Lepisosteus oculatus: one gene and its partners. The protein of the gene in region 2 purifies or fractionates together with the protein of the main gene of each other region. This does not show direct contact. Links are inferred from orthologs where the notes say so. Each region holds a gene or a part of one and is shown on either strand. Other genes may lie near its edges. The genes, in order: mrgbp, histone H2A.Z, chd4b and wdr5.

Region 1 (7,464 bases), on a different chromosome or scaffold from region 2:
CCGTCCCCAAGACATGCTTTTAATGTCCTCTCAATATATAAATAAGGATTTGCCTGTTTCAAAGGGAGAAATCCATGATGTTTGTACACCTTGTGGTAACTGAAACAATTCAACGGCCATGTGATATGAGTTGGTCTCTAGTGAGGTCATATTGGATTGTTGGAACAGAGTGAAAGCATTCTTCTGTCCATACCTCTCACAATCCTGGCCAGCCAAAGTGGGTCTCAGACCTTAAAAATGAGAGATAAATGACCAGAATGAGGGACACCAGTTTCTGTCAGCAGAAGGTGCCAAAGTGCTGCAATAGCACAGCCAACATCTAACTAGAAAATGAAAACAAGCCAACCAAATAAACATATTAAGCGAGAACCTTCTTCCATGGTTGCAGGTGGGTCTCGTTCTTCTTTGATTTCATCCTTGACTTCTTCTTCGACCACCAGTTTTCCTGCATGCCAGCAAAGAACTAAACTTAGAACATATTCTAGTAATGAACAGAAATGATATGTTTTCACTCATGGCATAATATTTTTCAGATTGTATGACACTGCAGAAAGTGCTAGAGACAAACGTCTCATCAACTACAAAAAACTGAAAATGTCTACTAACATTTAAATATGACTAAAGAAGCAATCAATATTTACAAATCAGGAATGTCAAGGATTGTTGTGAACAATCAGTCAGGAATGTTTTTGTAGTGAGGCGTGAGTCGGTCTTACCTTCTTTGACTTCTTGAATAATTTCCTCTGGCAGAACAAAACTTTTTTCCGAGTTTGGGAAAGGCAAGATTTCGGATTCATGCTGCAGACAACAGAAACAAAAAATTACAACATTTATATTATATTTAATAATTAATATATTTGAATATTTTAAGTTTCAATATTTAATATATACAATAATACATATTTCTACAGTCTTAATAGGACAAGAGGAAAACTTTTAGTTTTAGTAAACTGAGAATCTATCTTTCACACTGCTGCAGACATGGACACAATTGCTGCATACATTATTTCCAGCTAGTAGCACCTAAAACACCTTTTTATGTTTATATTAGCTCTTAGTCATTGTAGTAAAAATGATCTAATCTTAGCAACACATTAAACATAATATCTGCTTATCTACTTAAGGGTTTCGGGAGGAGCTGGAGCCTAACCCCACATACAATGAGCTCAAGGCGAAATACACCCTGGATGAGATAGCAGTCCATCACAGGGCATACAAAGCAGACACAGAAGCAAACACCCACAAACTGACTACACAGGCAATTTCAGTAGTGCCACAAATAAACAGGATGCAACTACCAATAACCACTGCATACTAACCAGAGCTTGCATGTCGTACATTGTCCCCAGATGATCCCAAATCACTTTCGAGGAAACCTGCCGTCCAATATTCTGGCTAAATTTATCCCGAATGCAGATCATGTGGAAATGACGATTAACTCCTAAGACAAAATACATTTATACACACACAACAAAATGGTAAGGTTTAAATAAGAATTAAAACCCTTAAACACAATCCCACATTGGACTAGACTGGTCCTTTTTTAACATTAATAGGTTTTACTATACAGGCCTGGTCAGTAACCTTGTAGTCCACACCATCTCTTGGTTTGCCCTAAGAGAGAGGACGCAACCCAATGCTACAGACTAGATATTCTTGTTGGCCCCTGTAGGTCTGCTGCACCCACCTTTTCATGATTCAGAATTTGATCAGTCAGCCCTGGGAGGAGGCAGGTGATGAGTGAATGAAAATCTGCTCAAGCGCCCTACCTCCACAAGTGGCAGCTGTTTTGAGCGGAAAAGCTGCTTATGGACAACTCTCTTTTTAGAATAACATAACAGATGGATAATCATCTGGTAACATGGAAAAAAAAAGATCAAATATATCCTAAATTCTAGAAGCTTCCGGTTGTCTTTAATGAAGCATCTTCCATTCTTTTTCTGATGATGACATAATTTTATATTGCGGTATTACTTTCTTTTACACTATTATTTCACCTCGTGGGGTAACTGTACAAAGCACGATATACAGTACATCTGTTCAATGCCAACAAACCAAAAAGTTAAATGGGAAAAAAACTAAGCTGCTCGACACAGTTCATTCAAACATTGGCAAATGAATAAATCCTAAAGGTCCTGGCGTACCGAACTATAAATATAAACAGTTCCATTATACAGGCAGCGTTATCCATGATGTTCTTACATCTGCTGATAACTAAAACAATTCAACGGCCATGTGATATGAGTTGGTCTCTAGTGAGGTGATATTGGATATATAACAGAGCTATACAGAAGCTTTAGTCTTCGTCTCCTGGCTTGTACACCAGGGGGAGACGGCTCTGTTGTTTACTACGAATTGTCTCGTCGTATAAAAAAACAATTACGAGATTAATATTGATCACATTTAAAAATTATGTACAGTATAAACGATTAACAGTAACATCAATGTAGATGTATTGTGCGATACCATTAGTCGATTTTAAGATATTTGCAAGGTCTCTCAAGTTGTAAAAACGGTCCCAAGGAGGACAAACAGAACGCCCATCTACCCTAACAAAATACGATATCTGAATGTGTGTTTTTACTATGGCATAGGTTTTCTCCATCTTGTACTGTATTTGAGCAGCAGTTGCCAAATTCACTATTTGAGGTAGGATTTTCAGTTTCCAATATCTTCCTTTTCTTCCTCAATAGTACCCTAGTTAGCGTGGCTGGCGGCAACGGCTCCTCAGTCGGTGACCTAACTACTCAACACCGAGGATTCATAGGCCTTAAAAGTGGCGGCATCATTTGTCGTAGTTCATAATCATTTGCAGTCTTACCTACGGGTTTGTGGCCCAGCATAGCATGAAAAAGGCAGACCTCCACTTCTTGGCTCCATATTACCGACTCCTCCACCGGACTAGACCCCGAATCTGCCTGTTTTTCATCAGCTGGGACGGCCTCTGCTTCTCCCATTTTTTCTGAATCTTCTAGCAGGAAAAGGTCGTGCTCAGCAAAAAAGAGTAAAATAGCGCCCTCTAACAACATGAAGAAGGAGCTGCAATCTCGGTTTGGCCTATTTTATGCTAAGACCTTTTTTTAAAAAAAATCCGTTTTTATCGCTATATGTTTATATTATTGTTATAGTTAATTATGATTATTTTTATAACAAATTACTTTCAAAATTCTATAATAACAATTATTATGCTAAATTATTCATAAATATTATATTTATCATAAATTGTCATATTATTATGATTATGATTATGATGATTATTATTATTATCAAAATAACACTAGAAAGAAAGAAAAAAACATAATCAAGGAGATTTTCAATAGTAGATTCTGGGTCAGCATATTCTGTCAGGGTATATCGCAACATAAGGGCTTCATGTCGCGATATGGGAGCGGGGCCTTTTTGCCGGGTATGTCATATCGCGATACAGTGGCTTCATGTCGCGATATGGGGGCGGGGCCTTTTGGCCGAGGTATGTCATATCGCGATATAGGGGCTTCATGTCGCGACATGGGGATGGGGCCTTTTTGCCGGGGTATGTCATATCGCGATATAAGGGCTTCATGTCGCGATATGGGGGCGGGGCCTTTTTGCCAGTGTATCTCATATCGCGATATTAGGGCTTCATGTCGCGATATGGGAGCGGGGCCTTTTTGCCAGGGTATGTCATATCGCGATATAAGGGCTTCATGTCGCAACATAGGGCGGGGCATTTTTGCTGGGGTTTGTCGTATCGCGATATATGGACTTAATGTTGCGACAGTGGTGCCATGACAGTGATGCGGCAGTCGCAATGGGTATCGCGATGTGATCCTGATTTGCGCTCCTATCGTGACATGCTATTGGAGTCGTGAACGCGCAGTGGATGCCTTGACATTCGTTGTCTGCTATTCAGTTTTGACCTCAGTGCGACTCTGTTAGATTGATCAGTAATTGGAAACCAATAGATGTGTTACTGTATATCCAGCGTGCTCATACACCACACACGGTACACACAGAACTTCCGCTGTGGCTCTTTACCCAATCAGATTGTCGATTCTCACTCTTCACCCAATCGCTGCCCGGACTGTTCGGGAGTTTTAGCCAATCACGGGTCTGAGAGCTGTTCAGGCTAGTAGCGCCTGCTGGATCTGCTTGTTTACTGTCAATGAGAATCTGTTTTTTAAATGCTTTACTTATTTGTAAAATAACTACATCGGCTTATTTTTAAAAACGTCTTTATTGATTCACAATGTCCCGTACTCGTCGAAATAAATATTTTTTTTATTTGCAATATAACTGTCTCCGCTGCTTTCTGTAATGAATACATGGTATCTGAACAATTTTCATCGTAAGGTAGGGGAAACACCTTCTGCTTTGTACTTCAAAAATGAATAGAAATGTAAAGTCTATGATCATTATATTATTATGCTCGTGCTTTCAATTTGGTTTTTTTATTGTTAAATTATATCGATCTTGAAACTAATACCTAAAAATGTGAATATGGACTCTCGTGTTGTACCAGCGGTAATTTGGAAACTGGTGTCTCTTCACCAATGAAAGGAGTACACAAGAAATACATTTTCGAGAACGTGGTAAAAAAAATAAAAGAAAACACCTAACCCAATGAACTAACATAGTAACTCCTTCCTAAATGTATGACTGTTTATTCGGGTAAAGGCTGCAAAGTCTGGGGTCAACTGATCAAAACTGAAATATCTGGTGGTCGTGACTTTGCTGTTTTGTACATCACAGCCAGGAAAAGAAGGCGCTATATTCAAATACATTGAAACATCCACCCCACCCGACTAGACAGATTCGGAAAACAAATTGCCCTCACAAATTGCCTTAATCACAATCAGGCAAGTACCGAGTTTGTTGGTACCTGTAAACTTCCTTGTAGGTAGTCACTCGAATACCCGAAAAACAAGGCGCTATATGTCGGAAACGAAAGCAGCAGAAACGCTACTTACAGCGACACAAACCGCAGCATTAACGATTGCGGTGAGTTTCGTCGTTTGTGCTGTTCGACGGGCGGGTGGGCAACTTCATGTAGCAGGACAAGCAAACATGTCTGGGTCATTACATTGCAGACTGCAGAAGACTCGACTTCACCTGAGGATCTAACACAGGCACCCACACCTGTGTCTTCAGAGGGCAGGTGTGTCCTCACGCTGTATTCTACACCGAGGACTGGCCGGAAACACAAACATACACACCGCTTCGTGTTTGCGCATAAGACCCCTGTAAATACAAACACATGGATAATGACAGTTCATTCAATAATTCTGATATATGTTCACTTCTGTTACGTGAAAATAAATATATATGTTTCCAATATTGCCGCGGTCCGCAGGTGTCAGACGGTGGACTTTCCCGTGTTTCTTCTCGGATGTTGTTTCTTAGATGGGCCAACTTCACGGAGCTAGACTTATAAGTATAAAAAAATGCTCTAAAAAAAACACTTCTGACTCAGTACCTTAAAGGCTTTTGGGAGGGAGCTATATGTAACAACTCCTCTTCTGATTATGCAGCATGGCCATAGTTTATCAGAAGAGGGGAGAGGTTTCATTCTTTGTCAATGAGACAGTTAAGGATACTACTGTACAGTATGTCCTTGCTGGTCAAAAACAGATTGCAGCAGTGAGGTGAAATTTTAATGGAGTTCTAACAAAAGTGTGGGAGGTTTGAAGGCAGCAAGACAAATAAAGCTCAACTGCTGCTTCCCACAACTTATCCTGATGTAATTTCTCAGATTCCCATATGCACCACACTCTTCCTCGCTTGTTTTGCATTCCTCCACCCAACTCCCACAGTTGCAGCTACCCCTTGGTTGCCTTTTTCTCCAACCATGGAGCTCGCAGCCTCCCTGTCCTATGGCCCTAAGCCATGCGGGCTAAGCCATCCTTTCACAAACTCAAGAAACGATTCTGCTGTAAACACAATTTTCACTTGCCTTAATTCCTTGTTAAATAGAAGACTACAGATTGGAAGTAGGGGAACCTGAGCCAGAATGCATTATGTCAAAGTGTGGTACACAATTGTGAGCCTTTACTCTTAAGAATTCACTGGACAAAATAAGGAAAGAAACTCCCTGAGATCCAGGCAATGTGTGAATGCTTTAATATGAGACAGACATCCATCACCTTCCCAGGCAATCTCATGTCTCTCATTTCAACTTTTTGATTGAGTACAGGTGGACACCAGTGAGGAGTTCATGTTCAATCTCACACACCATAAACTGAAGATAATCCCCCTACAGAACCCTGAAAAGATTGTGTTTCTAGTCTGTGAAAGATTTGTTCAACACATGACACATCCTGGTCACACAGCTGTTGGTGATTGTAAATTTCCACCATTTTATGAAACGGGGTTCCTAATATTTTGGCCGTTGAGTGTATTTCATCACACTAACTGATTAAGGCATTTTATGACACAATCACTGGTTCAGTTCCTTCCAGGAAATCTATTCAGCGTTCACAGAAAGGTATCTGGATAATAAGTATGTCACTGAAATGTTGACTCACCCCCGAGACTGAAGAAGTCATTTTTAAATGTAGAAAAGGTTGCTTTAGATTGGCAATAGGACATATTTGTCAGTGATTTAAAATCTGTTTAACACTTACAGGTTCTGTGGTAAAATCTATTAAATGCTTAGATTAACATCTGATGCAGTTTCACAGCTGGGGAAGTGTTAATTTGTCTCACTGTTTTTAATGTGTTTGTCAGATGTGCAGAAAGGTTAGTCTATATTTAGTCTAGCTTGCTTTCCAAGAGAAGAAATCCTTCCAAACTGGAGAGTTACCAAGTAACATAGAGCATGGAAGGTTTATTTTTCAGAATGAAAAGTCTGAAATGTCCCTGAACTTTCTCATTCCCAGAGGAAAGTGCATTGACTTCAGTTTTCTTTTCTTGACTGTTAAAACTTCCTGCCAGCTTCTTGGATATGTTTAGATTTCCCATGAGAAATATCTACTTGACAGTGATACAGATAATTGATTTTATATTGGATAATATGCCATAATATTGGATAACATGACTTTCTTTCAGTGCAATACAGGGGACAACAAAATATTCAAAAGAAAGACAACTTCCATGTGGAGCTCATTAAGCTTACCCCAGTGTCCATAGATCAAACATTCAGGTTCTGACTTTAACCAGTCGTAAACATCAATAGAGACTTAAACAAGTAGGAGTGAAATTGACTAAGATTTTATTTATTTGGAAGACATAGCACTGTAAAAGCCAGCAGCCATATCACCCTGATGCTCTCAACTGGCTACTTGCTGAAGCAAAGCAGAGTTGAGCCTGGTCAGTACCTGGATGGGAGACCTCCTGGGAAGCTATGGTTGATGCTGGAAGAGGTGTTTGTGGGGCCAGCAGGGGGCACCCACGCTGTGGTTTATGTGAGTCCTAATGCCCCAGTATAGTGGCGGGGACACTATACTGTAGTGGGTGCCATTTTTCGGATGAGATGTTAAACTGAGG
Region 2 (7,851 bases):
TTAACAGGTGAAAACAGAATTTAAACAATTGCAGAACATTAACTTTAAAAGTGACCTGAGCTTTTTATGCATTTCTTTGTAAGGAGTTGATGCATACTTAAGTCAATATTACCACAGACCATTTAACCAAACATTAGGACAAGATAGTCCAAATATTTCACAGGATTTTTATAGTAAGCTTTCTTTGTAAACACCCCATTGAGAAACTGGTGTCAATTTAGTCAATACATACAGCCTACCATTATTCAAATACCAGTGTATTTAATATTTCAAGACTCCTGTACAGCTGCTCAGATAATCTGATCTCCCATGGTGGACTGTGCAAGTCAAAACCATAGGAAAAAAAAACATTTTAGGTAGGTTTCTCAGCTAGAAACAGGAACTAGTGTGGTTACACACAAAACTGATCAACTGATAATTCTTATGCAGGTGGATATTTGGAGATACAATATCTTAAACATGTGCTGCCAAGTACTTCAAACTACTTAATATACTGTACTTCAAAACATGCATTTCCAAATTCACCAAAATCATAACGCTTTATAGCATTGGAAACAAAGCAGTCAATACTTTAACTTTATTCCAGGACAAAACTTCAATCATATAAAGCGGATTTTAAATTTAACAGAACAAATCAGTTCCTGGATCACACATTAAATAGGAAACAATACTGCTGCAGTACCTCAACCTAGTATTAAAATAAATCAGGCTTCTTTGAAGCCAATGTATTTAAAATACCTCAGAAATGAGAATATGCAAAGCTCAAAACAATTTAAAAAGTCTAATACAAAGCGGAACAAGTCTCATGCTCTTTAAGAACAACCCTTTAAACCATTAGTCCTGAGATAGCTTGGCCAGCGTCAGCTTGAATTATACAGTTTTCTGCTGTCCCTTCTTCCCAATCAGCGACTTGTGGATGTGAGGGATAACACCTGTGGACAAAATTCAATTTCAGAGTGTTAAGGCCTGCACTTTTCCAGGTCAGATTAAAGGGCTTGTGCATCAGTGAAAACTGGTGTCATTTTCTAAAGACCTCAAAATCAAGGTGGACAGAAGTCTTCCCATTTCTCCTCTCCAAAACACAGATGTTTTGAAGAGCAAACATGTTATAAATAGGGAACATCCCCTGGTATTTGAGAATGTCAAAGGACATTAAAAAAAAACTATTTATAGAGCACCTTTCATTCAAATAGCAGCAAAAGTGCTTTCCAAACCAAGCATAAAAAAAAATCTTAAAATGAAGAAACCTACTTTCAGTTGTAAAGGAAAACTATAATCAGTAAAGCAACAAATGTCAACTTATGCTTGAAAAGGAAAAATAGAAATGAGGAAAGTCATAATAAAATGAGAATAAAAGAAATAGAAAGAACAAAGAACCATTTTAACTAAAAGCTAAATTAAAAATATATTTTCAAACGCTTTTTAAAACAATGTACCAAGCTTGACTGCCTAATAAAACGTTGTAGGGAGTTCCATCATTTAGAAGCATAAAAACAAAAAGCAGTCTCTCCACTCCAAGTATTTCACTTGTGGTATTGGCAGATCTCAGGTCACGTATAGGACATAAGCAAAGAAAAGCCAAGTAACCAGATTAAAATTAGTTTAGAACCCCCCCAAATCAATTATGGTTTCAATTTCACACAGGCGATGTTATACTACAGAAATATTTTTTTTTTTAAAAAAGCAGAGAGTTCTGCCTTGCTTATTGTTTATGAACCGTTTAAGTGCTCCCGTCTACCAAACGTGGCACATCTGCACAAATGAAGAGGAGGGCTAGCACAGTACAAAAGTACTCCTTACCACCACCCGCGATGGTCGCCTTAATGAGCGAGTCCAACTCCTCGTCCCCTCGAATCGCCAGCTGCAAGTGACGCGGAGTGATGCGCTTTACTTTCAGGTCTTTAGACGCATTTCCTGCCAGCTCCAGAACCTGGGGGGGGACAGAAAGGGTGTCTTTATCGCCAGTGTCCCCGCTGCCTTCCCGCCTCTGCTGCAGCCATGGGGAGGGGGACCACCAGCAATGCAGTCCCCGCACATGTCAAGGAGCCTGGCACTTCTGAACGGATAGAGAAGGGGAGTAGGAAGCAGCGTGGATTCGACATAAAGCAATTAATACACCTTCACTGTAGCTCCTGCCCTACAGAGGTTTTGCCCGTAAGCAGCCAACACACCTCGGCGGTCAGGTACTCCAGAATGGCCGCGCTGTACACCGCTGCGGTGGCCCCCACACGCCCGTGGCTCGTGGTCCTGGATTTCAGATGCCGGTGAATACGACCCACTGGAAACTACCAATGAGAAGGAAAACAAGCAGAAAAGGCGTTAGTCTCTCCCGATTAGGAAGATATTTGCCCCCCACTTAAGGTACAGTTTTGATATGGTTACACAACAAAATATGAACTACAGCGTGTCTTTGAGAAACTTGTACCCCTCACTTCCGCAACATCGCGATCCACATGAATCGGATCCCTCCCCACACACACCACACACACACGCTTTTCACTAGTTCAACACCACATATCCACAAGCTTTGCCGGCTTCCCCCACTGCAGAGGAAGAGACGCGATACAGACCTGCAGCCCGGCTCTCTGCGAGCGCGAAACAGCCTTTGTCTTGGTCTTTCCGGAGTCCTTCCCTGCTTTCCCTCCAGCCTGAAAAGCACATTGTAGCAGATCAGTACTGCTCAAAGATAGGAAATGCAAGGACAAAACAAAAACGAAGGCTAATCAGATTAACTTCAATCGCCACGAGCCAAGAGACAAGCGTATGTGCAAAACAGACGCCAACTGCGTCCTGGTGCGCCACGATGCAACTTGTCTTCAGTAATTCCACCCCAATTTACCTACATTGGGAATACACGGTGCAAGATCGAGGTCTTCTAACACAGTTACGAAAACCGCTTACCATTTTATTCCAGTCAGTAACTACAATGACAAATTATGCGCGCTGCTACCACCACTCTCCTCTCTCTGCCTGATTTAAACTCATATCCCGCCTTCTCTCTGTTATATGCAAGCTAAAGTACAACATCCGGGACCTGGAACTCCATTACGAGCCAATTACATTTCTAGATAATTAGAGGGTGCCTCGTCAGTCCAACCAATCACCAATGTCTTTTTGTTCAAAAGGGCAGAATACGGTTATTACGCGCCTATTCTTTTTAGCGGAATTGTGGGAAATGTAGTTCTTCTCCGGTGTATTTGTATTTCAAGTTAACGTTTTAATGTTTAAGTTTATTTTTGGTCCTTGTTTCTAACTATGCAAATTGACATTGTAAATGTACAGTATTTTCATAAATTTTAATCCACTTGTCTATGTTATATTGCTGCTGCATACTTTCAAGGAGCCCAGGAGCCCAGTATCAAAACCTAAGAAGTACGTTGCTAAATATGGCAGCAGTACAAATACATGTTATATTATTAGCTACATGTACTCTAAAATATTTTATTTTTTCGCTGGTAAAGAATAGGTTTAGTAGTGATTTCAGCAGGGTCAGGGCAGTTTCAATTGGAATGCTGTTAACAAGCGTTGCCACGCTCAGGACTTGACAGTAATGTAAAGTTATTAAATGTTTTCCTAGTTGCAGAGGTGTGTAATTGCAAAATATCTATAAAATAAGAAAGCAACACGTGTGATATCTGTATCGAATAATAAATACACGTTACTGTAAGGTAATTTAAATTAAACTACATTTAATATTTGAACTGTGCTTGGTTTAGGGGAATTCTGAGCTAGAAAATGCAGATGTAAACTGACGTGACTCAAATCACATTGTCTGGTATACAGTATATTCAATAAATTACACAAAACTGAGCTATTTTTACACATCCAATGTTATTACTTGGTAGTTTGTATATTTTGTTATTAAGCTCCACAGTGTTTAATATTATTTAGCAAAAAAGGTGCACTTGACTGGATAATGTCTGTTCTTAGATCTACCTTTTGAATTGCCTTCTGTATGCATATTGAACAGGAGAACAGGAAACACTTGTTAAGATACTTAATTTAGAATAATCTAACCTTTATTATAACATTTATACTGATGTAAGATGGATTAAGTGTCTTAATGGATATGAATAATAAAATTGGTGGTGAAAAGGTGCTTGATTAGAAGGAAAATGCTGTCATTTTCAGATGTCATTGGTTTGTATCCATGGACAGGATATAGGAAGGTCCTTATAAAAGAAATACATTTGTATATTCAAAATCCACATATTTGTATCATTATAAAGAACATTATCCCCCATGTAGTCTGATAGTCTGAAATATTACAAGTGTAACATTATTATGAATCAAATGAGAAATTCATGTTTCAAGTTATGACCTTAGACCTCATGAACTATCGAGCATATATTATATGCCAAGAGCTTGACATTCTTGGAAACTAAAACAAAGAATTATCTTTGACAATACTATATGTAATTTCCTTATAAAGAAAGTGAAAAAAAGACAATAAAACTCATTTTGAGTATTGAGGAATGTGTGGGAAGGCCCCATGTCCCAACACAGAGATTTGCTTTTTTCATGTCATTTCATATTCATTATTAGTAATATTGCTGCAACAGCCATGACTAAAAATTCCTTCCAGTTTGTTTGGATCTCTATTTAAGTCATTGATATCATAAGTTACATCCTCAGAGAATGATTTTATTTAGTTCAAGTAGGTAGCTGCGTCAGCATGCATAGGCTGCAAAGGGAGTCAAGGTTTATTCCATGTTGAAAAGAGAGGAAAAGAAACACAATGTGGAGCCTTCTTCAGGTGACCTCGAAATTTTTGTAGAAGACTAGGAGTGTTGCTTGGGTGGTGACAGAGTCAAAGGAAAAAGTGTTAAATTTCAGACAAAATCATTTAGGAATGATATCATAACAATGAAATCTGTACAGAAAGCTCCACAGTTGTGTTTCTCCTCTTCTCTTTTCAGCATTGAATAAACCTTTACTTGTTCTTCTGAATTATTTTTTAGTTTTGCTTGGACTTTGGCCTATTTAAACACATCTGCACATATTTCCAGTTTTAATGAATCTTTATTTTACAAATTATCATCATTATTTGATTAATAGACGTCCTTACCACGGGCATCTTACCATGTGCTAATGTGTGGTTATGAAGACAATAGCCACTGACTGAAAGTTAGTATGCAAATAAGACCATTGACGTGATAACGACTCCTCATCCTGGGAGAGACAGGAGGTGGACAATGGTGTTGTTGAAAAAAAAAGATGCCTTGAGCACCTACTGTATTCTCCATTTTATCTTGCTCAGTGACAACAGCTAACCACCCAAGAAAACCTGTTTGAGACCATCCAGTAGTTTTTATTAAAAGAAAATCAAATTTGTATAAAATATTCTAATCAAAGTTATTCTATGGACAGTACTGTTCCTTAGTGTCGTGGGAGCCCATCTACCACCAAGCTGAAACCCTGACTTCCTTCAAGAAATGGCCTGATGAAATCCTCAAGTAGCTACTAGCAGCCAAATGAGTTACAGTAGGTGAATCAGATGACATGCCCTGATCTGTTGCAAGTGTTTCCATTGTGATGATCCGTAGGAAAATATGTAGAAGAGGTTTGCAATTATATATAGATGTAATAAAAAACAAAAATGTTCATGACAAATTCAGCATTAACTTTAGAATCAAATATAACTTTAAGGAGTAGGAATGTACAAGAGAGTTTTTGTTATTTTTTTGTGATACCAGTTACAGTACATGTGTGTGCTGCAGGATAATCAGTTTAACCTCTGAGCAGAAAGGTTGCAAAAGAGGAAAAGATATAATGTATCACCATTTAAGGGGATAGTATACTATTATTAGGCTTGAACCCATATGTTTTAGAAACACAACTGCATCACATGCATGCTTTCTAATAATCAGCATGGAGGATCCAATTAATTTTCCTGTGTTTAAAACTGGTTTTGTGAATTTAGTTCACCTTAGAAACCTGCATAGAATTGCCACATGGGAACAACAACAATAATAATAATATAATAAAATAATTATTTCAAAATAAAATATTATATTAGATATTAACTGATTTAGCTGCAGCATATCCTGAAATGATCTAAGTCTAATTATTAGATTTAAATGTAAATTAATAGATTTAATAAAGCTTTGTAAGTTTTCTATTTTTTCAATTGGATACAATTGCAGTACATGCAATGTATTGCACCTTGCAATGTAAAATGTGCATTAGGAGTTATTTATTTATATTCACTTTCTTTTTTAGACTGATGATACACGTATTTATTCACTTGTGCCAGCATTTTGTGGTTTCTCCACCTCCCACTTTTCCTGTTTTCCATAAAGCCAACATTGTCTGAGGAGGAATGTGGCCCAGAACTGTGCCTTTTCCAGATCTTCTGGCATTCATTCCTTGACATAATTATTTATTTAATTAATCTTAGTCCATAATCTTCAAGAAGTGGGGCTCTGTGCTCTTAGATAAGGAAACAGACCAGCTTCCTCTATCATTGTGCTCCATTCTTCCTAACATAATGCATAGGCCTTCCACCTGGTCTCATAAAGCAGACATACTTGAGGCAGGATAAGATTTTGCAATTGCACCTAAACTGTAAGAAGTTAATGTGTAGTATAAGTGGTAATCCTTTGCTAATTCGACATATATAACCACACTTTGAACTATACCTTGCATTGTACCGTATTGCATATTTGAACATGTTGCAAGTTGTAACAAGAGCTGTATAAGGTTACTTGTTGCACTTGTCTATCTATAGCTACAGTACAGTCAACAATTTGATTATGACCTTGATTGTACAAACTGTGATTTTCACTCTTACTGTAGAACTTTAACTGAAACTGAAGAACTTAGGAGGGAAATGTAAAGGGAATTCCATTTCTGGGGGGGGGGGCAATATATATAGGCCCATAGTACTGTTTTTCATTAATAATGTGCTGTGGTACTAAATTTTCTTATATACTCATGTCATTATAAATTTCCTGAGTCACAAGGGACTGATGAAAAAAATAAATAAAGCACATAAATGCTATTATTTATATGTATACATTATGTATAATAAATATTTAAAGTAATATAAATATTATGACAGTATATGTAATTAGGATTATTCATGTTTCTTTAATGACATTTTTTTAAAAGGTATATTTAAGGCATTTTATTGTGGATTATGCATACTATGGGCACAATTTGAATTTCAAAATCTAAAGACCCCCTGCTCCATACACAAGGAAAACAAAGAAAAATAGATTGACACCTGAAAAAAAGCTCAATCCACAAAAAATAAAAACATAAAAATTCAAAAAAATTAAGCAAATGAACTTCTTAAAATTGACACATAACAAGGGTTTTGTAGCAAAAATATATTTTTTTCTTCTTTTGTTCAGTGTGGCAATACCTTACTTTTAAAATTATATCCTTTAAAATTAGAGACATGTCAAAGTTACTATTTCAAAACATGTTATGTTCCATAAAAAATCTGGTTATGCATATACAGTACATAAAACTGTTCAGACAAGTGTACAGTCTTCAGTGCATGTCAGCTAAAAAAGCGTTGTGTTTATTAAGATAAAATTTACTTTAGGATTATTTTAGGGGCAATTTTAATGCAAAAATTATTGTTTGTTTTTTTACCAAATGATAGCCATGTTGTTCTTGCAAAGAGTAGGAATTGATTTGACCTCAGGCTTGGCTTTCTCTGCACTGAATTGTGGGATTAACACTGTAATAATAATAATAATAATAATAATAATAATAATAATAATAATAATAAAATTGCTTACACTTATATAGCGCTTTTCTGGACACTCCACTCAAAGCTCTTTGCAGGTAATGGGGACTCCCATCCACCACCACCAATGTGCGGCCCCACCTGGATGA
Region 3 (7,621 bases), on a different chromosome or scaffold from region 2:
AGAGACAGAGAGGGAGAGAAATTCCTGCAGAACCACAACTGGGTACATTCCGGGAATTGAAGGAGTGTCCTACACTGACAGGCAAGAAGATCCGAATCTTTCTGTGCTTCGAACGGAGGTGAGCTGATTCAAACAGTATCAAAAAAGTGCTCAAAGGCACTGCCAAAGTGAAACCAGAGGAATCAACAGCGAAAAACACCAACCGGAGGGGCACACAAAGTGGAAACACAGGGGCATTGCATTACAAAAAAGGTGCAGAGGACTGGACTTTACACAAAGGGTTGTGGGGGTGTGGAACAAACATGGGGCTGAAGCCAATAAGAGCATGAGCTCTTGGATCAGATAAGGCTATTACCAGATGGGACAGATGGGCACACTTACCACTCACTGTCAAGCTTCCTTACATTCTGAGCAAAGAGAGACGGACAGAATCTCAAAGGTTCAGACAGAAAGCGATGAATGGAGAGACAATGTGGGAACAGAGGCAGATATAGACAAGAAGATAGACAGAATGGGACAGACAGACACACCGACTGATGTACAGTACCATCCTGGACCATTAACAGTCTCACAGACAACTCAATAGATTGACATGAATGTAGAATCTCAGAAAGACAGGTGAGAGGAAGTAACTATCACTGTTCGAAGAGGAGAGACAGAGAAACTTTATACACCTCTACAGTAAAAATACATGTAGTGTAAGAATTGCTGCATCATTTTCATACTTAGCATAATTGTGTGACGCACACACCCCCACGTTCCTCTTTTGACTCCATCAGTCACTTAGCAGCGCTCCAACTATTATGGGATGCGTTTGGGTCCTGGCTTATTATGGGATGGCCTTTGTCTGGTCACACCCAGCAGAGCGGGCTTATTATGGGATGCGGTGTGCACGCGCGAGAGTGTGTGTGTGTGTGCGTGCGCGCGCGCGTGAGTGTGTGTGAGCCGCAGCAGTAGCAGTAGTGGGAGACCGGCGTTCCAGTGTGCAGTGCTGATGTCACCCTCCAGCAGAGGAAAGCACAGCCCTCCCCTGTACAGAAACGGCTCAGATCCCTGACCTGCCCGGTTCTGCATAGTTTTTACCCTGTCAGCCAACAGCATAGCCTGCTGTGATTTCTCTCATTGTTTTATTATATTGAACAAACTTTTTAACCCTGCATGATGATTATTTACTTTAAACCCATTGTATAGCCCCGCGTATATTATTATTATTATTAATGTATTATTATTTCAAACATTTTTTAATTCGGTCAGATATATTAGATATTTGTAGAACCCTCCCTAACAGTTCTTATTCTTATTCTTATTCAACAGCCTCTGAACTGCTTTATCCAGAATTACAGGGAGCTGGAGCCTCAATGAGCAAGTCATGGGCAAAAAGAAGGATACGCCATTAATGGGACACCAATTCTGTGTTTTATTATTATTATTATAATAATACACTGGAAGAAGGCCCCACAGACGAAACATTGTGTTTCCTTTCTTCTCTTTTCAGCCTGGAGTAAACCTGTTACCTGTTCCTTTGCAGTCTACGCATGGTGACGCAGCTCCCTACTTGTACTTATTATTATTATTATTATTATTATTATTATTATTATTATTATTATGATATTAAAACCAACAGTGCAGCCCTGTAGGATGGGGGTGAGTTTTCTTTGAGCTCAGGTGGCGGAGCAGCGGGAAGACAGGACAGCCTGACAGACGGGCCGCCTGCTCAGACTCCGCCGCAGAGGCAGCGGGACAGCGGGACAGCGGCACCAAGCGCAGGACCCGGCAGGGGAGAGCTCGGGCCCGCAAGCTCTTGAGGTTCTTTCGAAAGCTGTGAAAATGTCCCATTTTCCACTCCCTCGGGGGTGGGGAGGGTAGAAGGTGCTTTTGAAATTCCAACGGCTCCGGGTGATCACCGTTCCCTTGCCCCACTGGACGCCGGCCACATTCCCAGTCTGCGGACCTGCAGCCGGGGGCCCTGAGAGTCTCTGGATGAAAGGTGCCCCCCCTGGACCGGATTACCGGGAGATTTCCTGGATGGGGATCGGGGTCCAGGAGAGCCGGCGTCCGCTCAGATGTGGACTGGTCAGAGCTCTTTAGCGTGTGACGTCAATGTGGACAGCTTCTGCAGCCACCAGCGCAGCTCTGCACATTCTGCCCTGTCTCCCAGAGAGGCTGCTGACTTTCTGCCTGTCTGCGCCAGTGGCCGTCGGACCGCAGAGAGCAGTGCGCTTTGGGGAAAACGGTGTCTGTTTGCTTAGCCGTACAGACACAGACCCACACTGTATACACACACACAGACGCTCTCTCTGGAACTGTGTTGGTGTGGGTGGTGTGTGAGCAGACCGGTTATTATGGGATGTGTGGGGGGGGGGGGGAGAGGGAGGGCAGGGCCGGACTATTATGGGCTGTGCGCGGAGCTGGAGGGAGGGGGGAGGGGGAGCTGGGAAATTATGGGATGTGTGCGGGCAGCCTCTGTGTCCCACAGGCTGCTGGCCGAGGAGGGTTGGCGGGGGGGGGGTGGAGGGGGAGGTGGGGGAGGTTGAGAGGGAGAATTTGAAGGGCGGGAAGAGAGGCCCCCCAGGGTCATTAGAGGAACGCATCCTGAGAAAGAGTTCGCACTGCTTCGGGCCTCTCTCTGCTCGTCTGCGGCCGCGCGCAGTGCGAGCGCCGCTCCAGCTGCTCGCTGTTGTCAGGTGCAGCACCTCCCCCGAATCCAGAACATTCTGATTGCAGGTTTCACGGAAGGCACCCCAGAACCCCGTCGATCCTGGTGATGGGGGATCGGGCGTACCACACGTGTTCACGGAGCACCTAGACTCACAGAACATTCCTGGGACATTCCTGGACGAGGCACGTGCACGCCGGGTCGAATGGGGCCAGGGATTGAAAGAAATAAAAAGAAAGTATTGTACAGCACAAAAAAAAACACTCCGCAGTCGGGAGTGTCACTCGGCTGGGGAAGGAGTGAGCGACGGTCAGGGCATCGCCCATTCTGGGAGCGTGTCAGTGCGTTGGCCCACTGCAGGCCAGCTTCCACATCCCACGGCTCTGCGAGACACCACCACCGTAGTGGACAATAAAGTATCTTCTCCTGCACAGGTCTCGGGTCCCGGGATGGCAGGTTTACCCACTGGCCAACCGTGGTCTAATGTGATCTTACGGGTTTCGCATTGCTGAAAATGCTGTATTCCACCACTGTCTATCACACTTTTTCGAGCTGTAAGCAAAGGCGATTGTGAAATAACTTTATTGCTACATTATGCATTCCCAGTGCTGTGCTGTACTGTACTCACTGCGTAACAGTACTGTTCTGCTCTGTTACAGTATGCAGAGTGTACAGTATCAAACAATAATAGCTTTGCCTAATGCTGTGCCTGAATTTAATTTGTGTTTTGAGCTATTTTTGGCAGAGAATTTGCATGTAATTGTCTGAAACAATGTCTGCGTGCGACTGTCTGTTTCTGGTTTTCTGCCTGTGTGTTCCTCAGCCTGTCCGCCTCTGTTTCTATGTGTTCATGCATGTCCTGTGGGTGTTTCACTCGGCCTGTTTATATCAGTACACCAGGTGCGTATAAGCCCCTCTGTGAAGGTTAGAGCAGGGAAGGTGGAATTAACCTCTTCTTGTGCCTGTCTCTCTGTCTGCCTGTCTGTGTTTCTTGATGTCAGTCTGTGGCTTTGCATCTGTTGGTCCATCTGTCTGCTGTAGTCTCCTTAGCCACTATCCTCCCTGTATCCCCTGGCGATGCTCTCTCAGGATTTTCAGCTGTCAGGGTGAATATTATGGGCTGTCCAGTGAGGTGGGAGGTTGTCAGGTGCTAATTATGGTCTGTCAGTCAGCTTCCATGGCAACCGGGTAGCACATCAGTCATCCTAACATGTCCCCCTCAAGTACACACACACTTTAGCACCCATGCCTATGGTTTATTATTATGGGGTGTAGTTGGGTCTGGATGTTACTATTAGTATTATGGGATATCTAAAGGGGGGAAGGTAATGAGGGGGGGGGGTTGCTTCCATGACAACCAACCCTCCCCCTCACTTTTCTCTCTCCTGATTGGTCATTATGGGATGACACCCCCCCTGTAAAAAAATCTCTATAGCAACAAAGAGAGAGAGGAATGGAGTCTAGTCTGTGTTGTTGTTATTATTACACAGTACTGCCATATGAAATTAAGCAGCCCGGGCACAAAGAGTAGGTAATGCCACATGCCCACAAGCACAGAAAGGGAGCAGACTCAAACACAGCAGCACTGCAGAGTGGTAGATTTTAGGCCTTGTGTCTCTTGTGAGGCCTAACTCAGGCTTGTACTGTTTATGTCATGGGGACACTGGATGTTTTGACTGTGCCTGTGTTTGGAGGTGGAGATTATCTGAACATGTGAGACCTCTGTTTTGCGATGAGCAGGTATGGGGACATGAGCACAGCTCTACAGCACACTGACAGTGCTCTGTACACACCGACTGACACCCTGTCAGGCTGTCGCTGGGACCTCACAATGTCAGGGGTCTCTATGGAAACCAGCAGACTGTAAGGCTGTGCAAACTCCGTGTGTGTGCGCACAGTCTGCATGAGAGCAGCGTGCACACGTGTGTGCCGTCTGAATCGGCCTGTGTAGCTGGTGTGTGCCGAGCATGTACAGTGCGTGTGCACACATTGTACAGTAGGAGAGTATTATGGCCTGTCATTTGTGGCCTGGGTTGCCTGGGCGACCAGGCGACTGATAATTTTTTGGAGATATGCATATTATGGGATGGGTGATCCGCGAAGTGGAGCCCGGGTATTATGGGATGGCCGTCGGCACGGAAGGGGGGGGGCGCGACCGTCTCCACGGCAACGGCGGTTGCTAGGGGCCGGAAGAGCCCAGGGGGTGTCTTGCGTGCGTGTGTATATACATGGGATGGAGTATTATGGTCTGTCCGTTGCTGGGGTAACTGCGTGTGGAGTGTTAGTGTGTATTATAGAGTGGGGGGGGGGGGGTGTACAGGATTATTATTATGGGATGCCTGCCTCTCTCTCGCTTTTCGGTTTGCCCCGGTCTCTTTGTGTGTGTGAGAGGGAGAGGGCGAGTGTGTGCGGATGACTGTGCGGCCGGACTGGACCAGACATTTTGTCGTGCCCGAAATACCCACGGAAATCAGTCGCCTCTTCGAAGAAGCTGTCTTCGCTCCTGAGCCGGCAAGGAAATCGTTGTTGAACTCCCCTCGTGTAATCGCTCTTTTTGTTTGGGGTTACTCGTAACCTGGCACAACTCGGGATTATACAACCCTCCTGAGTCGGACATTTCTACTCCGACACGTCGGTTGTCTTCTTTGTATAAAGGGGGGGACATTCAAGAGGAGACCGCTGAACGCCAACTTTGACCCTTTTATCCGGAATACTTATTATTTTGTATGCAACTCCCAGCTCACTTTACTTCGCTGCCGGCCACTTTCCAGAAGCCGGTATAGTACTAGTATTGCAGTTTAGACATCTAACTGAAAACATCGACAGTTTTTCTTTTCCGGAGAGTTTATATCCTTTTAACGTTGAGTTTGGCGGCGCCCCCCCCCCCTGGTTTCAGTAGTGTGTGTGTGAGGAGCATCGATTCTAGTTTGGGATACAAACTCGGTCCTTCTCGCTGGTATTGCCGGTAGCGGAGAAATTTCTACGAAGACCGGGTTTATGCACTGTGTGACTCTTTTTCTCGTAAAATAACAAAGAAGGGCTTTTTCATCATCGGCTCGTCGGCTCCCTCCAACCCCCTCCAACCATTACCACCCCCTCCCTCGATAATTCCCTCCCCGGTACCGACACACACACACATACACACACACACAAACTCACTTTCAGATATATTTATAGGAAAACCATTTAGCACAAAATGTCCGGGAGTGAAGACGAGGGACAGGATTTCGGAAGCTTGGACGACCGCTCGCTTTTGCAAGGTAACTGAAATATTTTGGCTGTACTCGCATGTCTAACCTAACGCAGCACACGTGAAATGGAGCTGTCTTTACAGAGTATTTAAAGATAGTGCACTAGACTAGTCTTTTTTAGACTCGATCGTCTATTTTGGGAGTTATGTTACCGCTTCAAACATTTTAACCGAGGACAGGAGCGTCTCGTTCTTTAATTTCCTTTTTGGGGGGGTTGGTGAGTGGGTGACGGGGGCCTGCGTGTCTGCGTTTGTCATCGGTATTTGTTTTTTTAGGTCTGCGTTTTAATACGTTCTTTTATCGTGGGATGTGCGTTTTACTGTCTTTTTTTTTAAAAAAAAGAGAGAAAACTGGATCGCAAAAGTTTGTACATTGAGTGATGGAACAAAATGCCACCCGGATGCATTAAAACATCTCGTTCAGATTTTCCTGGGCTAGTTATTTTATAGTCTCGCTCGTGTTTGTGTGTTTATATATGTGTGCGTGTGTTTGCAGTGATAATTTGTACTTGTTTGTTGTTACGGCTGAAGAATTGCACTGTAAATAGGAAATGCCGGTTTGCAATTGAACCGGCATTTTTTAGACTAGGGGCCTACTGTGTCTTCACGTGTGGGAGTCGGTTAACAGGGAACAGAGTTTTTTTTAATGAATTTCCTGATTTTTGCAAAAATGTAATCGGCCTGAAAATACCGAATTGCCCAAAACTGATGTAAGAACTTTATCGTTTTATTTTGTAATCCCCCTTTATGTAGTCAGCAGTGTGTGTGAGCACACCGGAAGAAGGATACATGGAAAATTTGCTCTTAAACCACCTTATCCGATTTTGTGGATTTTAAGTATCCTTTCTGCGTAAGTCAAGGATTAAAAAAAAAAGTCTTTGAAATAAAATGTTAATATCTGGGAAGCGTTACGTAATTGTCAAGAGTTCCTGTTTCGCTCGCTGTGGATCTCGTCTTAAAGTGAAACAACTAAGAACAAAATCTTGCATATCATGAGCGAATAGGGTGTGAGGATTGAGAAAATACGTTTAGAGTAACTATTCTAACATACTCGAACAGTTTTTGTAGCACTAGTTGGGCAGTTGGGTCTTCTCTCCGTATTTATTACGTGAAAGCCGGTGTGCCAGCAAGCAGGCTGGGGACCGCGGCCTGCTTATTTCCTGTCGCCGACAGAAGCCTGACTCCTACGGAAGTCTGTTTTTAAAAAAAAAATCATAAAGGGAAATTTCTTTTTACTGGGTAGTACCTTGAGAACTTAAATTTAACTTGTTTTGAGGGTACGCATTACAGAAAGAGAAAATATAGGTCATGTTTTATTAAGTTTATTTTTATATGTTCGCACGGTAACTTAGTTTTTATTTTAGGTTTAGATTTAGGTCTAATCGGATTTATCAGACGTGAAATAAAGTAGCAGGTTTAGTTATTGGTAGAGCTGTAACAGAGGTCGGCTCAGTTCATGATACATTCTTTAAAAAAGTACATTTAAAATCAGTCTAGTATTCTGACTATGGATTTGTATGCCTATGATACTTGTAGTCCCCTCTTAATAAAAGTCCACTTTTGTCTGGAGTTGATTTCTGATCTAAAGCTAGCTCACTTATTCTGGCTTTTTTCACTTGAAATTGCTTAATATACAATACACTTAATACACCTATTGTGATGTACTTTGACTTGAAGTTATCTCCTCCAACCCCCCCTCCCCCAGTACATGTACT
Region 4 (7,975 bases), on a different chromosome or scaffold from region 2:
TGAGTCTCGTCATAGGCTGGCTGTGAACAGGGGCTAAGCATTGCTAAGTGTAAGCAGAGAGTAAATCGGTCAGGGCTCTCAGTTCTCCGTGACCCCTGCAGGCACTCGGGTGCTTGCTGTCAAGCTTTGGTCAAGGTGCCTCTCTTCCAATCGGCACTGAGCCTAAAGAGTAGAGGGCGGTGTGCCTGTGACATATTCAAAAAAAACGTTTTTAATGTTTTTTTTTTACTCAGACAGGTCAGAGGACTCAGCTTATACTTCATCATTCTCCCTTGTGCAGTGGCAAGGTAAGTAGGGGTGAGCCCAGATGTAAAACAACACACAATTTGGAATAACCAAAACTGCAAGTATAGCAAAACTGGCAATTCTAAATTTCTAAAAAAATCGCTATAAAACACTGCATCCAAACAAATACTTTTGCCACACTGATCAAACTGCACACAAGGCAATAAGCTTCTTCCTTGAACAACAGCTGACATCAGTATATAAATGAATTTAAACATACATGGATCAAATCAAAGGACTACTGCTGTCACGATACAGAATATGATTTTAATCTGTAATAAAAAGGCTAAAATAATAATTATAACTTGTAACGTTACTGTTTTTGCAGAATTTCTTATAGATTTTAGATCATATGAAAAATATGCTTCTCTGAAACAAACTTTCTACAGAAATTGAGCATACAATAATAATTTGTGGAATTTCTGACCACAACTGTGTCACAACAATAGACATTTTCCTGTAAGCAAGTAAAAATTAACATTTATACTCTTTAGCTCATTAAAATGTCTATGGCAAAGAGACTATTCACCAGCAAGCTATGTAAACAGCTAACTACATTCCTAAATCATTTACACTTTAGTATATTAATAGCAAAGATACTAATTTACTTGAAATCCAAAGGGTGTGAATAATATATAGGATCAAATCTTACATTTGCTGTGTAAAATAAGTTTACAATATTTCAAATGAGTTAATGCAATATTTGGACATGCTGCTGACCTGAAATTCAAATTGCAGTTAATCTACAAGATCCAACACTGAGGAAATTAAAAAATCAACTCAATACATTTAGAATGCTTACAAAGGGGGTCATTTTAAGGAATCATTTAACCTCTGTACAACAAATCTATACTTATCTAAAATGGAGGGGAAAATAAGTAGAGTTAAATACATATTTACAGTCAAAACAGACTCATCAATTCAAATGAAACTGACAACTCCCACCCGCCAAAAAAGAGTATGCATTCTGGCCCCTCCTACCTTGCTCTGACTAGCAGATGCTGATGAAGCAGACTGTGTTTTAGTGGCTTCAGTTTCTGGTTTCTTCTCCTCTGTTGCCATGGTTACTGAGCAAGTGAATCAGATCTTCGGAATAGGTGCCAGAGCAGCCAGACGATCACAACTAAAAATAATAGAAGCTTGTTGTTTGCGCCCATTTAGTAAAAAAAAAACATACACCAAAACCAACAACACACACCAAAAGACACATAATTCTTATTTCATTTGCCCATTACTTGTAATTGAAACAGCTTCATTTTCAAAACATTTTTGTTTCCAAAACATGAATCTTCAAAATTAATATGTCTTATACAGATATTTTTAATTCAAGCATTGAATGTTCTTTATAAAATTGTATTCCATTTTAAAGGTCTGTTGTAACATTTGTACATTTTGTACACTGCAAAGTTCTAATACAGAAAGATGCTATGAAATAGATTTAAAATCTTTTGTGGGGCCAGGCCTTTCAACTGGACATGATAACTGATGATGATAAATATGGTTAATTATTTTCTGTAAGTCACAGAAATCAATGGCCATCAGTCATTAAGCTGGTTGGTTTAAAAACAAACTGAACCAAGGTTGTAATGCTTATGGTACTGAGACCTAAATAAGGCTAGCAGGTCAATTTAAGGTTACTGATCCTGCTTGTTGTATTTCACAACATAAATAAGAAGCTAATACACTAAGGAACGTTTCAGCTTCGCTGTTATGCGGAAGAGATAAAAATGAGCATGAATGACATGTCTTCACATAAATAATACAGTATATAAATCTACGTACCTAAACTACATTATTTGACATTCATCTTTTTTGTGAATGCCACCTGTATGAAGCGTGATCAAATCAAAACGTTACGGGTGAAGATTTCACCAAACCGGAATCTATATACGGTTAAAGTTTACCTTAGGAGGGACTTCAGCAGAAAGGTAGGTGAAATCCTTTAAAACAACACCTTAAATGGCACGAATTGGAACCTTCAGAACAGAATTGTTACCTAATGTAGCAACTAACCTTAAATCTGTTCACTTCAAATTGGCATTCAGGCGACAGGCTGCAGTACTGGAGTACGACAGTAAGAGTCGTCGTAATTCATAATTTACCTGCCCATCTACAACAACAGGACTACCGTAGGCTATAAACCGGGTACTCCGTTCTGTTTTTTTTTAATATAAAAAAGTCCACTAATCAAAAACACATAAGGCTTCTCTTACTCACAAGCAACTACTGAAGTCTTAAAAAAACTAAGATTATAGGTTAAACTACTTAATCAGTTACTGCGGCCTGGCACAGAAAACGCCAAAGCATCACTCAAAACCAGACATGCTTCCTTGATCACACCGTTCGAGCACATTTTTACACTGCGATTTTAGCTTCGCGTCTAAAAATCTCAGACCACTGCATTTCCACGTCTGCAACCCATCCCCCCAGTCTGCGTTAAAACCAAATCATTCAGGATTTTTTTTCCTTTCTTTGCACATGCATATTCTACTCCTTCCATTCAAACAATAAAAAATGCGCACCTACTCGCCTCTCAAAGGTCGTCTTTACGGTCACCGTTCGTTTTGTCACCAAATCGACGTCTTGGTTCGCCTTGCGAACCCTCCCTTTTGAACAATAACTGGAATATTGTCCTTCTTCTCTTTCTGTTGCAATGAAGAAGCTGCAGCTTGTTGGCTTCAGAGCTCAGGCGGGGAATGTGGCGACAGACGCACAGTGCGCATGTCCGCACGCATGAACATGTACTATATTTACGGCAAACAGGAAGGGACAAAAGTGGCGAGTAACTTTGCCGAGGTAAATTTAGTGAAGGACGAGAAAGCTGGGAAAATAACCCATGTGTGAAGTTGTAGGATCTTGCACTTCTTTCTTTTTATACACATTCCTGATTTCATTACATAAGACTATATTATTAATTGAAAGCTTATTTTGGTTGTATGTGACAAACTCTTAGCACTGTTCCCTCTGAATAACATTATGTCTGACCCACATTTGTTTTGAGACTTTTGATTAATTCCTGTGCCTGAACATTCATGATGTATATTATTACCATAATATTACCTCCCCAACTCTTTCATTTATCCTGTATCTTCTTGTGTTTTAATTCTTCACCAGAATTCTTCTTTCTGGTACCTGTAACATTGTTGTCACCTGCTAATGTTTTAGCTTCTGTTTTCTTTATTTTTCTCCTAACACTCCTTGCATTTAGGTACAAACACTCAAGTTGTTTATCTTTACTTTCCATGTATCTTTTTTTCTTCTTTAAATTCTCCCCCTTGCAATTGTAATGTAAATTACTATGAATCAAAACAATCTGTACCCTTTTCATTCAGATATAATCCTCTACGCTTAATTTGAACTGGAGCTGAGCTCCAGTACCATTTAATTTGAGACAGTTTGCACTTTACTTATATATATCCTTATCATGCGAAAAAGTGAACTTGCCAATTCATATCTTAAAACACATTTTACAAATGGTCAACGATTTCATCTTGGTGACTCCTTGAGTACATTTTTGTGCCAAATCTATATCTGCTGTTTCTGTATGAATACATACATTATACATGAGAAACATGCATTAAAAATAGATTTGAAGCTCAAAAAAGTGTAAACTGCACACTCCAGTATAGTTTGTCAGGGGAATGATATGGCACGTTTTGTGTATTCTAATATTGTGTGCTCAAACCTGCAACGATACTTTCCTAAAATCTAACGTGATGTATTAGATGAGGCTACTAGTTTGAAGAAATAAAGTGTGTTGATCCTGTTACTCACCTGCTCTTCTATCTATTTAAATCATGGTTTATGGGAAAAAAAGATGAGAATTTCACACATCTATTTTCTTCACGGGGTTGCAGGAGACCATTTGCAGGCCAGACACACACAAACCAGAACACCCAGAGGAAACCCACACAAACACAGCGAGAACATACAAACTCCACATAGTTAGCACCCCAGGATTTTAACCCAGGCCCCAGTGCTACAAGGCAGCAAAACTAGCTATTGTGCCATTGTGCTGCCCACAGTTTTGTCCTTAACTTTATTGATATTTGTCAAAGTGATTACCTATGGGCTATATACAGTATTGTCTATTGGGAGATTATACAGTGAGATTCAGGAAACCTACAGATCTGCCAAAAAGCCCATCAAAGAGTAAATGTTTCAAAAACATAACATGATTATGGTATTGGACATGACTAGTTAAGAAATTCTATTTCAATTTGATCCATAGAAGAATTGTGCTACTTATGCTAATGTCATCTGTCTCAATATGAGTAATAGCCACTGGGTGCTCACCTGTCCTTGCTAGATGCCCATCTGGTAGCCTTGAAATTAGTGTTATAGCACACTGCTGTTTATGTGAGGTTTCATTTGCAGTGTTCATGAGAACACAGTCTCCAACAATCAACCCTTCTCTTTTTCTTGTATTTTTCCTGACGCTGACTGGAATTGTCATGGCTGATATGTCTGTGATGACAGAACTCTAGGAACTACAGCCTTGAGTTTCAAAGACTCAACTTCCCTGCCTGTTTCCAGATCCTCAAGTGGAATCATTTTATTTGGCAACGTCATGTTAGGTAGGAGTATTGGGTAGGAATGTAGTATTCTTTAATCTTTCACAGTCTGGGACCACCTGCTCTCTGACAACTTCTCTACATTGGTGCTCTGTTGATCTGGAGCGACTCTGAATGAAGGCCTTACCAGTTTCTCCATCTCATGTTGCTCTTAGTTCCTACAGCTCCTCTGAGTGCACTACATGCAACAAATTCTGGCAGTTTTATCAGATATAGTTTAGCTATAAGGACCTATTAGAGATGTTCTATTTGTTTTACACATTTCAAATAAGACTTAGACTAGTTTTATGTTGACTGTTTAAATGTTCTGAAATATATGTACCATATACAGTTATTAATGACTTAATCTGGACTCCTTTTGAAGGAATCCTTGTCCTTTGGGTGTGTGGTTCTTCGAGTATTGGCTCTATGATAATCTTGACACAGTATTAAATCTTTGTCAAATTAGGTATACATCACTGGCCAATGTTATGACCGTTCGCTTTGTCATCTGAATACCTAAAGCAGCACACATTTTAAATCTAAATTTCTTAACCCAAAACCATTGACCAAGACAAACTAAATATTATTTAGCAAGATTAGATTACACCATAAAGAACAGCTATAAGAAACAATGTTTCTTGCTTGTGCCTCTTTTCCTCTCGTAAAAAAAAATCCAATAGCTTTGCTATTATCTTACCTCCTCTCCCTTTATATACATTGAAGGACCCTGCATGACTCATTATTGACAGTACCTGTACAGACCACTATATTTTGTGGTAGACTGCTGATGACCAATTGAAACTTTATGAGCTGGAAAGTGCTGAAATCATAAACCGCCACTGTTTGAGAACAGACTACATTGGAAAAAACACAGAACACAAGAAATATTTGAATGGAGACAAAGTCATCTTGAATGTTTGTTTGTTGGTTGGTGATTGATATGAGGACCTTGTCCTGCAGATTTTTGAAGAAAGGCACAATCAGTCCTGTTTTGTTTGATATACATAGTTCTCAGTTCTATGTATACCATCCTGTCTCCTCCTCCTATTTATGTTTCCCTGAGGAAGTCAGTAACTTGGACCATTCTGAATACTTCAATCGAATCTGTTCATTATCTTCAAGGCAATGCAAAAACCAAGAAGGGAATCAAATATTATTATAGAAGATGAAGTATGAAGTATTGCTGAATACATGCAGATTGGCCGATGGGACAGGCCCATATTGCAGAGTGTCCAAAACAAAAGGTTTTTGAAGCCAGAACCTTTGCTCTTTCTCAAGCAAAATCTGAATAAGGTCTCTTGTTCAATTATTTACTCTTTACCAAATGGGCTAGACAGACCTCTTGTTTGTAGCCACCCATCCATTTTCTAACCCCTTCATCCAATTCAGGGTCGGGGAAAGCCGATCTCAAACAACCAACGTGCAAGGCAAAGTACACCATAGACTGGTTGCCAGTCCAGACAGCAGGGCCAACTTTATCAGAAGCCAGTTAACCTAGCATGTTTTGGAATAGTGGGAAAAAACCAGAGCACCCAGTGGGAACCTACCCAGAGTAAACATGCGGAAAACATACATTGGTGCTCTGTCGATCTGGAGCAACACTGAATGAAGCACTGCAAAGCAGCAATGCTAGACACGGCACCACCAAGCCACCCTTCATGTTTGTAACCTTTCTTATATTCTTATGATAAAAAATAATTTTAACTGTGAATTTTCAGTAATACGAGCAAGAACACAGAAAAATATTTTAATTTTGTCCCCTGACAGTAAACACTGCACATAGAACCACTATATACTGAGAGGCATTGCAAAATTAAACAAGGGAATATTGGAACATTGGAATATCGTTTTTTTTCAATACACAAACTACTTATACGGGTACAAAAGTACTGGAGTTAATAAGTTTAATGCATCATGGAATGCAAATATGAACACCAGACTCCAATTTTGTGAGCATTCTAAGTATGGTACCATGTAGATTTATTGGCTGTAAAAAGATGTCTCATGCCTCTTCAAGCCCAACTGGTCCAAGAAGCCAATTGGTAATTATTTTTAAATTACCCACTTAAAAGGAGAAATGAAGAACCGAGAATCACATCAAGCAAGATGAAGAACAGGTGGTCACACTGCAAGCAGTCTACCATCTGCTATTTGGAAGCCAATGTCTATTAAGCCAGTTTTTCTGTCAGGCTTCCCATTTGGACTAAAGCTGTTAACCAACAGTTTCACTTAGAGTAATATATATTTTTTGTTTGCTGAACACATGGTATATCAAAAATGTTAACATATTACTGTAACACTTAACAAGCCATTCTGCATCAATGTTTTTGTATAGGAGGTGAAAACTCATTGTTCATTTAAAAATCCTACAGATTCTGTCAATACTTTGATAAACTGAAAACTATGTTCTCACACAAACACGTTTTTCTCGTTCTCCTCCATGCTTTAAAAATCGTTTTATACCTGAAAAGATTAACGTTAAAAGGTAAATTAACATAACAATTACAACATTTTCCACGATTAAAAATATACATCCAGCATCCCATGACTGCAATATTAAATACTTTATCGATTCCACTGTTAGAGTCCAGAAGTGATCTTTCCTGTAGTACTGACAGCTCAGAGAATACGAACTTCGCAATTACACAAAACTAGTTTTGGTAATGACTGAAGGAGAGTAAGGGTGCTCAGCACGAGTTTCAAAATAAACTCGATGTCTTTGAAGGAAGCAACCAGATCGTTTGACTCGAAAATCAATAACACCATCCGATTACAATACAGCGTAATCTGCGTAAAAAAACTATTCAAGCAGAATAAAAAATCTATCTTTCCTTCTTCTCAAACTAGAGTACGACGCTAAGCTTTGTTGAGTGGGCCAAGAAACACCACCGCTAACCAGCCAACTGCATGTTGGAAGCTGTAGTCCTTGATTTTCAAAACATCCCGATTTCAGAGTGAAAGCTGGAGCGGTGAACGACGACTCCCGTGATGCCTTTGTTTTGCGGCGCATGAGCAGGAGACTCGTAGGACCTCATCTATTATGCTGCTTTGCTGAAATAAAAGAAGACCTGGTAGGACGACTGCAAGCAAAACGCTGTTGGAGCTGCTGAGGGGAAAAGTAATAAATTAAAATA

What was found.
Region 1: the proteins of histone H2A.Z (region 2) and mrgbp purify together in Homo sapiens (affinity purification with mass spectrometry; 4 studies listed by BioGRID and IntAct, with this or other methods). This does not show direct contact. The link is inferred for Lepisosteus oculatus from reciprocal best matches to the Homo sapiens genes H2AZ1 and MRGBP.
Region 3: the proteins of histone H2A.Z (region 2) and chd4b purify together in Homo sapiens (affinity purification with mass spectrometry; 3 studies listed by BioGRID and IntAct, with this or other methods). This does not show direct contact. The link is inferred for Lepisosteus oculatus from reciprocal best matches to the Homo sapiens genes H2AZ1 and CHD4.
Region 4: the proteins of histone H2A.Z (region 2) and wdr5 purify together in Homo sapiens (affinity purification with mass spectrometry; 3 studies listed by BioGRID and IntAct, with this or other methods). This does not show direct contact. The link is inferred for Lepisosteus oculatus from reciprocal best matches to the Homo sapiens genes H2AZ1 and WDR5.

The regions. Positions count from the first base shown.
Region 1 is NC_090711.1:7,361,852-7,369,315, forward strand, and holds the start of mrgbp (MRG/MORF4L-binding protein), read right to left. Parts: upstream 3,004-7,464; 5' UTR 2,958-3,003; coding exon 2,822-2,957; intron 1,442-2,821; coding exon 1,320-1,441; intron 799-1,319; coding exon 717-798; intron 446-716; coding exon 371-445; intron 231-370; coding exon of another isoform or gene 194-230; intron 1-193.
Region 2 is NC_090696.1:32,276,668-32,284,518, forward strand, and holds the start of histone H2A.Z, read right to left. Parts: upstream 3,011-7,851; 5' UTR 2,905-3,010; coding exon 2,902-2,904; intron 2,649-2,901; coding exon 2,571-2,648; intron 2,286-2,570; coding exon 2,172-2,285; intron 1,931-2,171; coding exon 1,801-1,930; intron 933-1,800; coding exon 871-932; 3' UTR 1-870. UniProt on the Homo sapiens protein: Variant histone H2A which replaces conventional H2A in a subset of nucleosomes. Nucleosomes wrap and compact DNA into chromatin, limiting DNA accessibility to the cellular machineries which require DNA as a template.
Region 3 is NC_090718.1:3,158,142-3,165,762, reverse strand, and holds the start of chd4b (chromodomain-helicase-DNA-binding protein 4), read left to right. Parts: upstream 1-4,610; 5' UTR 4,611-5,852; coding exon 5,853-5,916; intron 5,917-7,621. UniProt on the Homo sapiens protein: ATP-dependent chromatin-remodeling factor that binds and distorts nucleosomal DNA. Acts as a component of the histone deacetylase NuRD complex which participates in the remodeling of chromatin.
Region 4 is NC_090719.1:7,051,082-7,059,056, forward strand, and holds the start of wdr5 (WD repeat-containing protein 5), read right to left. Parts: upstream 3,007-7,975; 5' UTR 2,812-3,006; exon of another isoform or gene 2,808-2,811; intron 1,409-2,807; 5' UTR 1,348-1,408; coding exon 1,267-1,347; intron 1-1,266.